Notamacropus eugenii: one gene and its partner. The protein of the gene in region 1 purifies or fractionates together with the protein of each later gene. This does not show direct contact. Links are inferred from orthologs where the notes say so. Each region holds a gene or a part of one and is shown in the gene's direction. Other genes may lie near its edges.

Region 1 (7,558 bases):
GTGAGGCAACTTCCATTCAGTGAATAGGACTCTTTAAGAAGTGAATCAAGGGATGGACCTTTTAATAAAAAAAAAAAAATCAAACTGGGAGGGAAAGACCCTCAGGGTTGCTGGCCAAAAGAGAAACAATTACCATGGACATTCACTCTGGGCCAGGAGGGTCCAAAATATAGCCATTAGTGGTGCTTTGGCAGGGCAGGGACCTATTGTTGTCCAATGAAAGCGATCCACAGTGAATTGAGTAAGTCTGTCCTCATAAGAATGTCAGTGGCCTCTCCCAAGACTCTGCTCCCCATGGGCATGGTAAAACATGAGTTAAAACATGAGTTACATTCCTTGTGGCCAATAATCTTTTATTGTAAACCAGGAACAGGATGGTTGTACAGTCATTTTCAACTCTTTGTGATCCTGTGGACGATAACACACCAATACTGTCCATGAGGTTTTCTTGGCAAAGATACTTGAGTAGATTACATGCTGTTGTGGAGAGGGAGGGAGTAAGGAGGAGGAGAAAATTTAAAACTTATGAATGTGATTGCTGAAAACTGAAAACAAATTAATTAGAAAAAATAAATGAGAAAATTAAACTTAAAAAAAAAAAAACAGAATACACATCCTTTCCAGCATGTCCTCTATAATGTTTATTTATCCCATATGCAATAAACTTGCTTCAGTGCAAATCTTTTCCTTTCCCATTCTTTCCATATTTTGGCTCTCACTGACTGAGACCTGGCTGTCTCCTAATGACACACCTTCCCAGATCCAGTACCCTAGTCATATTTTCACTCATTCCCCTTGATTAACGAATCCAAGTGGAAGAGTTGAAATGCTTCTTGCTGTCCATTGCCACTTCTAGGTTCTCCAGTGTCTTTCTGACTCCAAGCCCAGTGCTCTATCCACTGAGCCACTTAGCTCCCTCCAAGTACAGTATATTTGGCAATATATTTTCTAAGCTGTAAGATGTGCTGGCTTTGAGTATTTAAATCCTTCTTCTCATTTTCTGAGACACCAAAGCATGATCCAATGGATAAGCATGGCTGTTGCCCATATATCAGTAAGTATGATATAAAGCTGGCGGTAAATTACTGGCAGTACTACATGTATACTAAAAAAGATTACACATTGATTTCACTGAAATTTTTCTTCTAGTTTCAGTATTCCTAATGTTACAGTTTCATGATGTGTTGTGGTAGAACCATCTGTAATGGTAAGGGAATTTGCCTAAGGGACAGCTTTTGCTATTGCTTCAAAGGTGCCTACTTGGTCAGGGGGTAAAGCCAAGATGGCAGAGTAAAAGCACAGACTTGCTACAGCTCTTCCCCCAAGTCCAGCCAAATACCTGTAAAAAAATGACTCTAAACAAATTCTGGAGTTGCAGAACCCACAGAATGATGGAGTGAAGCAAATCTCCAGCCCAAGACAACCTGGAAGGTGGATGGGAAGCATCTATCAAGCTGGGCTGGGAGCAGAGCGCAATACAGGGTGGGCCACCCTGGCACAGATGTGACCTGAGCAGGCCTGGGAGGGAGAGGACTGAATCTTGGGCACCTGTGGTGGTTTCCAGACTTCAAAACCCCAAAACACCAAGGACAAATTAGAAGGTCAGTAGGAAAAACCTGTGGGACCTGTGTGAGAGAACAGAGTGGTCCGACCCCAGGCCCAGCTGCAGCAGGGGCAGGGACAGCAGCAGCAGCGATTTCTGGAGTTCTAGGCCCACAGATTGCAGAGGATCCAGTGGCTGACAGTACCTTCCCTCCCCGCACTGGAACAGAAAACTACCTTGACAAAGATCTTAAAAGTCAAGTAAATGGCTGGGGAAATGAGCAAAAATTGGAAAAAGAATCAGACTATATAGAATCTTACTTTGGTGACAAGGAAGAACAAAATATAGAAACAGAAGACAACAAAGTCAAAGCGCCTACACCTAAAGCCTCCACAAGAAAAATGTGAATTGGTCTCAGCCCATGGAAGAGCTCCAAAAGGATTTTGAAAATCAAGTAAGAAAAGTAGAGCAAAAATTGGGAAGAAAAATAAGAATGATGCAAGAAAATCATGAAAAACGAGTCAACTGCTTGCTAAAGGAGACCCCAAAAAATGCTGAAGAAAATAACACTGAAAAAAATAGACTAACCCAAATGACAGAAGAGATCCAAAAAGCCAAAGGAGAAGAATGTCTTAAAAAACAGAACTGGCCAGATGGAAAATGATTCTTTAAAGATTAGAATGGAGCAGATGGAAGCTAATAATTTTATGAAAAATCAAGAAAATGTAAAACAAAGGTACCTACTTAAGGAAAGTCCCTGCTATTGTTTTGGGGTCTACATCCTGCTTGGGCATCCTGATGGTGTTTCTTTCTGATTGGCTGAGTACTGTGGTCCTAGATGGATGTGACTGTGGTACAGTGCATGGACATATGTGCTGTTTCTATGGGAAATATGAGGAATGGTTCTGGGGACAGTGGCTAGCTAGAGGCAGTGGCTGGGATTCCATTACATGGATATGCCTGCTGTTTCTGTGGGAAATAAGAGTTCATGGACATACTTGTTATTCTAGTGAGCAGTGAGCCCTATATGAGGAAGTTAGGATATTGAGACGGGAGAGTAATGGCTAGGTAGGGGCAGTGGGACCTATCTTTATTAGGATTCCATCACTAACATTCAACAATGAACTTAAACTGGTCTAGAAATCACATATGCCTGAGGATACTGTTTGTCCTTCATTTCTGAAGAGGACCACTGATATCATAGATGGTATCTTGACTTGTGGATAAATTGGATTTAAGAGAGGCAGAGCTGCACAAAGCAGTCAGCCTCACTTTCTCTTCCACAATCTTTGGAGTCTAGTAGCAAGACAAAGTCAAGATGACTGGTGATGGCCTTGGCATCTTCAATATCTAACCAAGCTCTAACCATTCCATGATGCTTGCTTCAGCCACCTTCATGGACTTTGGAGCAAATTGTTTTCATCCTTCCACTGTGCCAAGGGAAGTCTTCACAGGCTTGGGGGGGGGGGACATCCCCTTAACTCATGATGGGTACCTTTAATCTGGTTGGGTCTGTCTTCCCATGAGGTTTATTTAGGTGTGGCTGCCGCAGATGCTGCAGCTTCTTGGAGCCACAAGTAGGAATTGGGTGAATCAGGTAGACAGCAAAGGTGGAAAGCAGTCCTGATAAAGGCTCTGCAAACCCTCATGCCAGAGGTGCTGTCCTCCTGAGCAAGGTGGTTCAGTGGATAGACAGTGGGGCCCAGAGTCAGAAAGATTTGAGTTCAAATCTGGATTTGGACATGAATTAGCTGTGTGATGGGGGCAAGTCACTTAACCTCTGAGAAGGAAACGCCTGGTGATATAGTTTTACCTGGACTAGGTGACTTCAATTCATTACCAGCAACTAGGGCTCCCTTACAATTTCCTTAATATCTACACGGATATCTTATTTTGTCCTTTAATCCGAGAATCACTCAGAAAAATCTGAAGAGCTCTGCCTTCTCTTCGTCACCGCTTGGCATCATCTCATTCATCCAAAGTGGCAGTTTTTGGAACCTGTTCATTTTGGTTGGTAGCCAAGCATCTTTCAGAGGCACCAGGGCTGTACTGGAAAGCATGTTGAACCTAGAGCCCAGAAGATGTAAGTTTCATTTCTGCCTCTGATACTTATAGCTATAAGACCATCCACAAGTCATTAACCGTTCTGAGTTTGTCTCTTCTGCAAACTAAAAGACACTGTATCAATGCCATTAATTACCCTTTGGGTTACCTGTACATTTGATTCTTTGGGGATTGTCTTCTAGGATTTGCAGCCTCTTCCAGTGTTCCATTCATTATCCGTTTTACTTTCCCCAATGTGATTTTTCTTAAGTAGAAAACGGGGAGGTTTTAAAGACGGTCTTTCCCTATTTTCTCCTCCTTGGAAATAATTTTTACTCCTCCGCTAGTCACACGTTGAAGTCACCTGTGGGCAGATACGCGTGTCTTCCTTGTTCAGACCAGCCAGGGAGGAAGCAGGGTCTAATCATTTCATTAGTGCCTTTTGCCAGGCTTCTCAGTCCCGAATGTCAGGCTTCAGTTTTTAAGAGTATAAATCCGTGAGATACGGATTGATTGGTTCCACAACTTAGGTTCCTTTTCCACTTTAAGCAAATAATGCTATAGGGTGAGTTAAGGGCCAGGAAAGCTGGCCATTCCTTCTCCACCTCCTCTCTCTTTTCCCTGGAAATCATGCGTTCTTCTGGCCTTTTAACTTCTCGTTTCGTTTCTTAATTCATAGTCCTACACACAAGCCCTCAGGCAGGGGCAAGGACCACAATAGAGAGAAGGGCTCGCCCGTTCCGAGAGCCCCGCTCCTTCCCAGCCCCGAACTCCACCCCTTCTTTTCTTCCTACCAGCCGCTTTTCCAGGGGCCGGGACTGACGTGTTCCAACAGGCCTCGCGGGCCAATCGTTAGCGAGAACGAAAGGGGGCGGGACCGCGAGCCAGGCCGAGGAGGGGAGAGGCGGGGCTGGGGGGGGCCGGTGAGAGGAGAGAAAGAACTGAGAGACAAACAGTCACCTGATCGCTTTCCTTCTGGGGCTCGGTCACTCGCCCGTAGATTCTGACCCCGTCTCCCGAATATCCGCGTCCCTGTTCGTCCGCGGGAAGCGACGGCCCCCACCCCCCGACCCCGGGCCCCGTGTAGCAGTCGGGGGTGAGTAGAGCGGAGTGGGGAGGCCGGTGGGTCTGCGCCCTTGGGGGAGGGGCGCGCGCAGCAGGGGCGGGGGAGGAGCGGGCGGCCTGGGCGCCCTTTGGTCCCCGCGCCCCCCCGCTGGGCTCTGCCCTTAGCCCGGTCTTTTGGGGGGTGCCCTGGTGCCCAGGCCGTGGGCGGCTTGACTTTCCGCCCCGGCGTAAATCCGTCGGTTTGAAATGTGTTTTTAAACCTGTGAGCATTCAAAATGTCCTTAGAAGCCCCTCGCCCCCCCGAAGGATCCGCCCCTCCGATGGAAGTGGGGTGTGAGACGCGGGGTTCCCCGCAAACGTGCGGCCGCCTTCCGTTTATCTGAAGGTCCTCTTTTTCCGGGAATCCACAACTCGGATGCATCACAACTTACTCATGTAGTAAAAATCACTCTGTCAGCTCCCTCGGCGTTCGTCTGGGGAGCGTCGGGCTGGGCGGGCGGCGTTGGGGAGCGCTTGGTGCCGAGAGGTAATGGCCCGTGCTCGTAAGACATCTAAGTTTGGGCCGGGCCGGGCCCGCGGCGTGGAAAAGTCGTCGTGGGAGCCCTCGGAAATCCCGCGATTTCCAAAGAAAATGTGAATGCCCGTGTTGTGCACTGATCTCTCTCGCGGTGGGATCGCGCAATTTTAATGTAACGCCGAGTAACTAAAAGCTATAAGCGGCACATGTAGGGACAGATTGGTGGCAAATAATGCTCCTCATCGGACTGATTGATGATCAATACGTAGGGACTGCTCGATGTAGAAAAACGGGATTTCCTGTTAAGTCTTATAGTAGTACATATAGTATAGTAAATATAGAATACTGTGGATTAGATATAGAAATATAGACATAGAAAAGCAGGATTTCCTGAAAAGCCTTGTAATACTACATATAGTATAGTAAATATAGAATACTGTGGATTAGATATAGAAATATAGGTATAGAAAAACAGGATTTCCTCAGGTCAGCATGTTTAGGAGCAATCTGGAGGACTGTTGAAGAAGGAAGCTTGATTGCAGTAGGAAAGTATTGTGAACAAATCATCTTTCTTCTTGGTGCAGTGGAAAGTGTGCTGACTTTGGAAAAAGAGGAATTGAGTTTATAGAAAAATGGCTCTGCGACTTCCTCTCTTTGTGACCTTGGACAAAACTATTTAATTCTTTTGGGGCCTCAGTTTCTTTTCTAGCTCTATTATCCGGTAAAGTTACTTTAAAAAAAAAAAAAGCACCCAACGTGTTTCATTGTCAATATTGGTTAACCCGTAGATTGTGTTAGAAAATACTTTGGCTCCTTTAAAGTCAGGTTGCTGAGTCATTCACCCAGGAAGAGCCTGAGAGGTAATTAGAAACAGCTGGGGCTTACATGGCTCCACTATAAAAGGCAAACCGGAGCGAGAGAAGAGGTGAGTGGTTGTAGTGCCCGAGGATTTGGCCAATTAAAACTTTGTGGTTCCTGGTAAGTAAGTCAGAAAGTGTCAGTCTGGTATTTAAATACTGCTGCTCTGGCCCTAGGTTACTTAATAGCCCACAGACTGAAAGAGTGCCCAACCTGTAGAAATAACTGAAATTTGTAGGGTAATGCTTTTGACCAAATGGTTGGAACCTGAGCTTTTCCTGTCTAGGCAGCGGTTCTGGAATTCCTCTTCCAAGTTACAGCACTTCATCCTGAAGCTTTACTCCAGCCCTGGAAGGCACACACATGTTTCATCACTCTCCAGGCTGCTCTGGGCTTTCTGGACCTTCTCACTCATTCTGTGTCTCTGTCTTTCCTCTTCTTTCTCTCGCCTCTCCCCTTCTCTTTAGCTTCTTTTGATGTGTTGCCTTCCCCAATTAGAATGTAATCAGAAAGGAGAGTCTTTTCTATTTGAATTTATATTGCCAGCACTTAAAAAACTGTCCTGTTTGTTTTTTTAGCATCTGAAGGGTTGTTTTTTTTTTTTTAAGTATTTTGTGTTTTAAATAAAGAAATTGGTCTCTTTATGAGGGTAGTGAGATGTGACATATCTCTTCACCCCCCACTTCCACTCCCAAGACTTTTCATAAATAAATTGTGCTGTGCCTACCACACTGCTCCAGATATACCTGGGAGCAGAATTATAGCTACTACATACTCTTTAATAGCTTCCTTAGGAAATTCTGTCTATTTTTCCTCTTCTCTTGGTGAATAGTGGTAGTGATAGTGTTGCTAATAGCTTTCAACAAGAGTATCACCAAGCCAGTATTGCTTTGAATGGGAAAAAACATCATTCTGCTTTTGGATCTCATTTAGGTGATTTTCTTCCATTCAGCTGCATGCCACCGTCTGGACAATAGAAAACCTTTCCTTTCCTTTCCTTTCCTTTCCTGTCCTGTCCTGTCCTGTCCTGTCCTGTCCTGTCCTGTCTTTTCTCCTGTCCTTTCTCCTATCCTTTCTCCTTTCCTTTCTCCTGTCCTTTTCCTTTTCCTTTCCCTACATGATTACAGTCAGCTATTTTGAGTGATTAGAGGTCTCAGGAGACTGTGTAGTATTTTAGGGCTTCATTTAATCACAATGGTATATAAAAATAAGAATACTTGGAAAGAGGAAATTTCATCTTGTGTTTCATTTCTTTCTTGTACATCCTCTATAATTGTGGCAGATACCTTAGGTGGTAATAATAGGTCACTGATAGTTGTTGATCAAAATTACCCATCTTGAATCTTTCAAGGAATTTTGTATGATGTTAAGGTCTGTGTTTGACAGTGCAGGCAGTTTGTAAGGGTGTATCTTGTTGCGAGATTGTCAAGATCCCTTTTGAGTACAGTGGGATCTTGGTATTCTCTTTAACCTGGAAGCTCTGGGATGTGCAATCATGTTTATGATTTTGTATATGCATACACACACACACA
Region 2 (7,812 bases), on another chromosome or scaffold:
ACAGGTAGAGGGGAAGAGGACTGACTTCAAAGCCATCCACCATCCATCAACCACGGATTAGAGTTGGGAGCACTAGCCAGCATGGACCCAACAGAGATGGCAGAGGGCAAGAGTCTGTTATCTGTGCCACCTTGGGCTTGGCTCATTAACATATCCAAATCATCTCAAAGTTATTGGTAAAGCTTTTAAGTTAACATGACCATTTCATCTCAGAGTTGGATGTTCCCTCGGTCTGGAACTATGGAGGTTTGGGATTTGTCTGGGATTTACACATCATAGGACCAGGAGATCCTGACAAAAGTACCTAGGTGGCTTCCTCTGATTTAGTACATATTACCAGGATGTGAATTCTGGCTAACATATGATACAATTTGCAAATCTTGCTCCTTTGATCTTTGGGATGGTTTTCCGTGACTTCCAGGTTCCCCTTTGCAATCTAATTTCCTGCTTTTGCCCCCTTTATACTAGCTACTTATAAACCTATTATACAGACTAGAAAGGGAGGGAAGGGGGTCAGGGGGATCAGAAGCAATTTTAACACAAAAAGAAACCAGCACATTACAGCTGAGTCTAACGTGAGGTGAAGTGGTTTTTAAATTTTATTTTAATTTTATTGTTATCGTTGACAAATGCCCACAAACAGAGACATTTTGGTCTACAAAGACAGATAGGGAAAGAGAATTGTAGAGGAAGCTATGATTCTCTACTGGGTCCAGTTTGCCTTTTTTGTGTATGTGTGATTTTTGTGTGTATGTGTGTGATTTCAAGGGCATAGGGGACATTCCAGGGAAGGAAATTCCCTCCACCAATGCATGTCTCAGTGACTTGGAGTCTTAGAGAGTTGTTTGGGCCCTGAGAGATTCAGTGATTTGCCCACATCACATAGCCAGGATGTACCAGAGAATTTGAACCCAGGTCCCCCTGACTTTGATGCTTTCTCCCTATCTATTATATCCTGCTGCTTCTCTGCCTTTTTTAAATTATAAAATAAATTGAACACATTAGTTTCAAAGCTTGTTTGTGTTTCTCTCTAAGGCTCTTTCTGTTCACTTCTGTGCATTTTTTTAAATGTTTAATTGACACTGGCTAGGGAGGGTGACTGAATGGGTCTACAGAGGCCATCCATAACATGGAGCATGCTCAGAGCTTCCCTTCCCACTTTGATGTGGGAGCTCCAGGGCTGGCATCTGGCCACATGTATGACTCATTGTAAAAGGGGTCAAATTTGAGATGATGGAGAGTCCCCTAATTGACTGAGTCACAGGAACTGGTGACTTGAAGGAAATCTACCTGACCTTCTATTCCTTTTCAGTTTTGAATCATGCAGGACTGTTTTCACAATTTGTTCTGAGAGTGGGGTTGGGCAAGGAGATAGTACTTCTACCTGCCACCTGACCTCCATGTGGCCCAAGAACATGACCTGCTGAAGCAAGTTTGTACCTGGGTCCAGCTACAATCTTTTATGGATTCATTCCTTTCAGATTCTAGGCCAAAACATAGGGTAACACTATGGGGGTAGCATTTCACCTTGGCTTGTCACTGTCCAAACAACTCCTGATCCTTGATAAAATGGCTAGGCTTGGGTCAGTCCTCTTCTTGGTGGCCATTTTCTGAAAGAGTTCTGGAAGAGTTGCCAAGACTTTTCCCTTTGCTGCCATTCAGCTCCAACCCAAAGAATTCAGGACTTCTTGAACTCAAGAGGTTAAGCCTGAACATATCCATCTCAATAGAGACAGTGTCTACTTACTTGGACCCTCAGGCAACTGTAATCTGACCTGTTGAGTACCCCAAAGTTTTTGTCCTCTGCTCTGAGCTGGATTCTTAAGTGTTATCTCTCCCAATCAGAGTGGGTGGTTTTATCCCTGTTGCTTAGTAAGCACATAGCTAAGTGGTTAATAAATACTTTATTTTCTCATTTATTGCATTCATTCTCTGGAAATCCTGGAAGTTTCCAGGGGAGCTCCCAAAGATACATTCCCTGGAATGGCCTTAAAAACCAATTTAAATGTTTAATGCCAGAAAATTCCAACTGTCTCCATGGTCTTGCATTAGTACCTTTCTCTCTTTGCACTTCAGTTTTATCTGTAGAAGCATGCAGCTGGACAAGATGATCTCTGAGGGGTCATTCTAACTCTGATATTACATGTTCTAAAGGTCCTTCTGGCTCCCACATTCACTGTTCTAAGGTCCTTCCCACCACTGCCAGTCTCTGTTCCAGAGTTTCTCTCAGCTCTGACACTCCATGTTCTATGTTCTAGGGCCCCTCCCAACTCCAAAATTCATGTTTCCAAGAGCTCTCCCAAGTCCAGTAATCCATGAGGCAGTTAGGTGTTGTAGTGTATAGAGTACTGGACCTGGAGTGAGAAAGATCTGAGTTCAAATCTAGCCCCAGACACTTAACAGCTGTTTGACCCTGAGCAAGTCACTTTACCTCTGTCTGCCTCAGATTCCTTTGCTGTAAAATGGTGATACTAGCAGTACCTCACTCCCAGGGTTGTTGTGAAGATCAAAGGAGATACTATGTGCCTGGCACATAGTAGGCGCTGTATAAATGTTATTCCCCCATATTCCAAGGTCCCTTCCCAGCTCTGACAGTCTATAATTCTTCAAACATGTTACAGAGGGTGCTCAGCTGTACAGTTACACACAAAAAGTAATTTCCCAACCTTCTATACATCAAGCTCTCACTTCAGCTACAGACCCAGGAACTGTGTCCTGAGCTCTGTGCTTCAGTTGATACAGAATACAAAGGTGCAAGAAGACCAGCAGCCTCCCCTCTCATCCCTTACAATCTCATCGATTAAAACTGATCATTTGAGGTTGCCTCTGGAGCTAGAAGTTCTCTGCTCTGTCCACAATTCTGCCTCTTGATCCAGGACAGAGGGGATGAACAGAAAACCAAGTGGTTTTGGTAGGTCGCCTGCCTTCCACTTGTATGGCCTTAGAAAAATTCCTTCAACATCAAAACTGATAATTTCAGAGAAACTTGGTAAGACTTCTACGAACAGAGGCAAAGGGCAGTGAGTAGAACCCGAGGTCAGTCTCCTTCTATGCCATTTGGACTGATGATCTCATCAGATCCCCTGGTTTCAATGATCACTGCCATGCAGATGACTCTCATTCTCCCAATCTAGGAGTCATCTGGAACTCCTCAGTCCCTCTCTTACCTCCCACATCCAATCTACTGCCAAGTCCTGTCAATTTCATTTTAGCAATGTCTCTCCCTTCCCTCCTCTAATGTTGACCCTCATCACCTCCCCTCTGAATCATTGCAGTAACCTTCTTGTTGGTTTTCTTGCTGCAAGGATCTCAGAACTCCACTCAGCTTCCAGAGATTTTCCTAAAGCATAGATTGGACCACATCATTCCGCTACTCAGTAAACTTCAGTGGCCCCCACTTGCCTCCAGGGTCAGATCAAAAAAAGAGACTAAAAACAGGCTGCTGTATTAACAACATGGGGGCGGGGATGCGGCTAGCACTAGTTCTTTGATCTGCTTTTCTAAAGAAAAGACAACTTTAAAGGGGTGAACAATCTTACTTTAATTACAGTTAAGTAGAAAGAAGTGAGTATAGAAAATACAAGCAGGATTAGCACAGAGATTCAACGCACAGGGCTCCAGCTGTTTCAACAAAAGTAATACAACCACCTACATACACCAGCAGATGGGAGAGCACCAACATCTGACTAGTGGGGAGGTGGGGCTCTTAACAAAGGTCTACTCAGAGTCCCATCCAGGGAACGAAAAGATCCTTCTCATGAGCAAACCCCCATAGCAAAATGCCAACCTCCTAGGATATATAACAAAGACTCTACCCCAGATAAGCTCACAACAAGAAGGCATGGAAATGTGTATGACTCAGCACAGCTGTGAATTATCAGGGTTCAAAGGCGATTAATCCTTCAGATGTTTACAATTTAGCCTCAGCCTAGAAACCTGAACTCCAGAAAAAACAACAAAAAATCCCACTTTGCTCATGCTTACCAGCTGTCCATGCTCTGACAGAGAGGTGGTGAACTCAAGGTGCAGAATGAGACACATTTTGGGACATACCTGGTCAATATGGAGATTCGTGTTGCTTAGTTATATTTGACACAAACATATTGCTTTTCTTTCAGTTTGGAAGGAGAGTTTGGATGGGGGTGGTTTAGATAATGGGAAAGTCTGGCAGTAGTTTTACAACAAATGAAGAAAAATGTAAGGAAAGAGCCAAGTTGCAAGGACTTCAACTGTACAGAAGGCTTGTCAGTAGGAAACAGAGAAACCAGACAGCTTTGAAAAGGACCTGTCGGATTTGTCGATGTTGGGAGAAAGGAGCAAGCTGTCATGTGATCCTTTCTTTTTCCTGTTCTTTGTATGCATATGGTATTTGATGTTTGTCAAATTCAGAATAAAATGAAATAAAAAAGAAGCCTCGACTCTCTGGGCCTCAGTTTCCACATCTGCAAAGATGCGGAGGCCGACATGGACTATATCCAAAGGTTCCTGTCAGCTCTACATTTGAGATGCCATGGGCTTGGCCAAGTGTCTTCTTTGAATGTTCCCACCGATAAAAGCTGTGGCCTTGTTCTAGATCTTTAAGGCTCCTTTCAGCTGTGACTCCTGCTTGGAGTCCATGAAAGAGGCTGCACGCCCACTCCCGCCCCGACTCTTTAAGCTGAGTGTGGTATTTCCCTCCTTTTGCCCCAGTTCCGCGGTGCCCCTCACCAAGATGACCACTGTTTCCCCCTCCCACCGAGCCGGCAAGAAACAGGCGGGGCTCCTGAGCCAGCTCCGCCTCGTCCCTCCCCCCGGGGGTAGTGGGGCTGGAACAGAGGCGGCGAAGGGTGACATCAGCGCATGACTGTGTTTTTATGAATGAAAGGAATCCTGTGAGTGAGTAATTCCAGGAAACTCACATTACAACTCAGCAGATTGCTGCCTTCGCCGCTGTCGCTCGCGCCTCCCCGCCAGCAGGCTGCCTCCACTCTTGGCTGCCCGAGCCCGAGTGCTAACCCGGAGCACGGCTCCCGGGAGGCGGCGGCTGGAGGCTAAAGGGGGACCCACTACCTAGGACGGCGGAGGAAGAGAAAGAGAGGGAGAGGAGAGGAGAAGGGAGAAGGGGAAGGAGGGAGAAACTCCTCGACAGAGCAGGAGAACCAGGGTGAGTACGCGCGGACGAGGCCGCCTCCCTGGGGGCCTTCAAGGTTGGGGGGCTTTGGGTCTGCCTTTCCGCTGTCCGGCTGTTGCCTTGCACCCCACAGTGACCCCCTTCTATCCCTTTCTGTCCTCTTTTTGCCCCCTCGCCGATCTTGGGTTGCTGGAAGCTTGGGAGGGGAGCGCTGGACAGGGATCGTGTGTGTGTGTGTGTGTGTGTGTGTGTGTGTGTGTGTGTGTGTGTGTGTGTGTGTGTGTGTGTGTGTGTGTGTGTGTGTGTGTGTGATTGTCTACCTGTCTGTCTGTTCTACTCTCGTCCCGGAAGGTTAGGCATGGTAGGAGGCCGGGAGGATCGGAATTCTTCGGTTGTCTGTCCCTTCTCAGAGGAGAAGGGGGTTCACTGAGCTAGAAGCGTTGGGAGGCACTTGCTGGGTGGGGTGTGGAGTGTACAGGGGGTGGGGGTGGGCTTCAGAATCGCCCCCAGTTCCCAGTCGGGAGCAGGGGAAGGGTGTCTGATTGTCTTCCCCACTCCCGGACTAAAGGTACTTCTCAGAAGTTGGGAGAACTGAAAGTGAAGGTGCTTGTCCCACCTACCTCCCACCGTAGGGGGATGGAAGGCAAGGTGGAGTGTTTGTCTCCCCCCACCCCACCCGAGTCTGAGCCAGAGGAGACCTCGTTGAGGTCCTGGAAGGAGAGTTTGTCTGTCTATTCCTTCCCGCCCCTCGCCAGTGTTAAAAGGCTAGCTAGCTGTGGAAGGGGAGGTGCGGTCCGACGTTCCTGACTGTGGGGCCAGGAAGACAGACTTGGAAGTGGCGGAAGAAGCAGCAGCACGCCCCCTCCCCAGCCCCCATAAGCCATCCCTTTGGGCCCACGAGCGGGGCGGGTGGGAAGCCAGGGGAGCCACACTGGGCGCCCGTACGGCGGGTGTGCGTGCGTGCGTGACCCAATGTGTACATTCCGTTTGTTGTTCGTGTGTGTGTGTGTGTGGTGTGTGTGTGTGTGTGTGTGTGTGTGTGTGTGTGTGTGTGTGTGTGTGTGTGTGTGTGTACACACTTGCGCACGCAAACACGGATTAGCTCAGCCAGGAGGAGGAGGAAGTCAGTGGGCCGGCCCCAGGCGCCTGGGGGAGCGTCCTGTCCCGCCCCGGCTCAGGCTGGGGCCAGGGTCTCCTGGTTTCCCTCCTTCCCTTTCCCCTGGCCCTGACCTTGGTGTTTCCCTGCTCTCCTCCCCGTGCAGGGTTCCTTTAGGATGTTTGTGCCCCTAAATGTCCATCCAGGATGGATGATAGAGATCAGAGAGGCCAAGGGGCTTCTCCAAGGTCACCCAGCTAATTAGGTAGCTTGGGCAGAATTCCCATTCAGACTTCAAACCAGTGTGCTCTTCGAGGACTGCCCAGAGCTGCACCCAGGGAGGACTGGGGGGTTACAAGGACCCATTAGACCCATCTCTCTTTCAACACCACCTCAAAGCCTTAGGGAGAGAATTTGGGTCAGCCCCCAGATCCTCCCACTTGGCCTGATGGATCAGGAAACACTTGTCTAAGACCCTGAGAGTTCACACCTCCTAGGCTTGGCACCTAGCCCACCTGTACTTAGAGATGATTTAGAGCTGGCCAGGACCTCAGAGGTCATCTGATCCAACCTCCTCATTTTATGGATGGAGAAGTTGAGGCCCAGAAAGGGGGGCCTGCCCAAGGTCACAAGCTGCAGAGCTGGTATTCCAACGCCCTCATTCCACAGAGAGGAAGTAGCTGACTCCAGGTCACAGCAACAAAAGCTGCAATGAAACCCAGGGCTTTTGGGGCCCAGGCTTTCCCCCAGTGTGCAGGTGTTAGCTGCTGCTGGGTTCTGGTAGGGACAAGCAAGGGGCCCCACAGAGAGAGAGGAAGAAGTCAGAACCCTAGAGCTGAAAGCTCCATGTTCAAAGGTGCACTGGCTGGTGGAGTCCCCACCCAGGGACACTGAGATTCAGAGTATACACATCTTGCTGTGTCCTATGCCATGGAGGGGGGTGGGAAGCAGGAGGGGAAAGCAGATAGGGAGTGAAGGGATTAATGTGTATGTGAGGAGGTAGGGGGAGGGGAGAGGAGCCTCAGAAGCTATCCCCTCCAAAAAAACGTTAAAGGAACCAGGATGCACCTGTTTCTGCACCAGTGTTCTGAAGAGCCCCACCTAGGGATTGCTGGGTCATTAGCACCCCCCATCCCTGGCATCTGTAGATCCAAGTCTCCAGCTCCTTCCATTTCCCGTGCATTGTAAAACAATACTCTTCTCCTAAGCATGTCTGCCTGCCCCCTCTTCCTCACCTTACCACAGACTGACCTGAAGAGGGGACAGCCAGGCCTAATAAAGGCAATCCCTAAGCTTTGAGATCTTAGGCTTACTGGAAGAGCTGGGTACTGTGCCCCTAGACCTTGGCATTGTAATTATAGAACCTCAGAGGTTAGCTCAACTACTTGACTTCACTGCAGAAGCTAGGGCTGAGGGGTTAAATGCTCATCTACAGTAAGGGGCAAAACCAGATTTTGAACTAGGGTCTGGTGACTCCAAGATTGATGATCTTTGGAGGAAGACAGTCATGCTCTTTGAATAGCTGAAACATAGTTGGAGAGGGGGTGGGGGCAGAGATTCTATTTACTGTGTGGTTCTGAGAGCAGTGCCAGATGGCTTTGGCACC

What was found.
Region 2: the proteins of BACH1 (region 1) and MAFF purify together in Homo sapiens (affinity purification with mass spectrometry; 3 studies listed by BioGRID and IntAct, counting the BioPlex papers as one, with this or other methods). This does not show direct contact. The link is inferred for Notamacropus eugenii from reciprocal best matches to the Homo sapiens genes BACH1 and MAFF.

The regions. Positions count from the first base shown.
Region 1 is NC_092876.1:414,480,187-414,487,744, forward strand, and holds the start of BACH1 (transcription regulator protein BACH1), read left to right. Parts: upstream 1-4,549; 5' UTR 4,550-4,682; intron 4,683-7,558. UniProt on the Homo sapiens protein: Transcriptional regulator that acts as a repressor or activator, depending on the context. Binds to NF-E2 DNA binding sites. Plays important roles in coordinating transcription activation and repression by MAFK.
Region 2 is NC_092874.1:295,667,139-295,674,950, forward strand, and holds the start of MAFF (transcription factor MafF), read left to right. Parts: upstream 1-4,798; 5' UTR 4,799-5,143; intron 5,144-7,812. UniProt on the Homo sapiens protein: Since they lack a putative transactivation domain, the small Mafs behave as transcriptional repressors when they dimerize among themselves.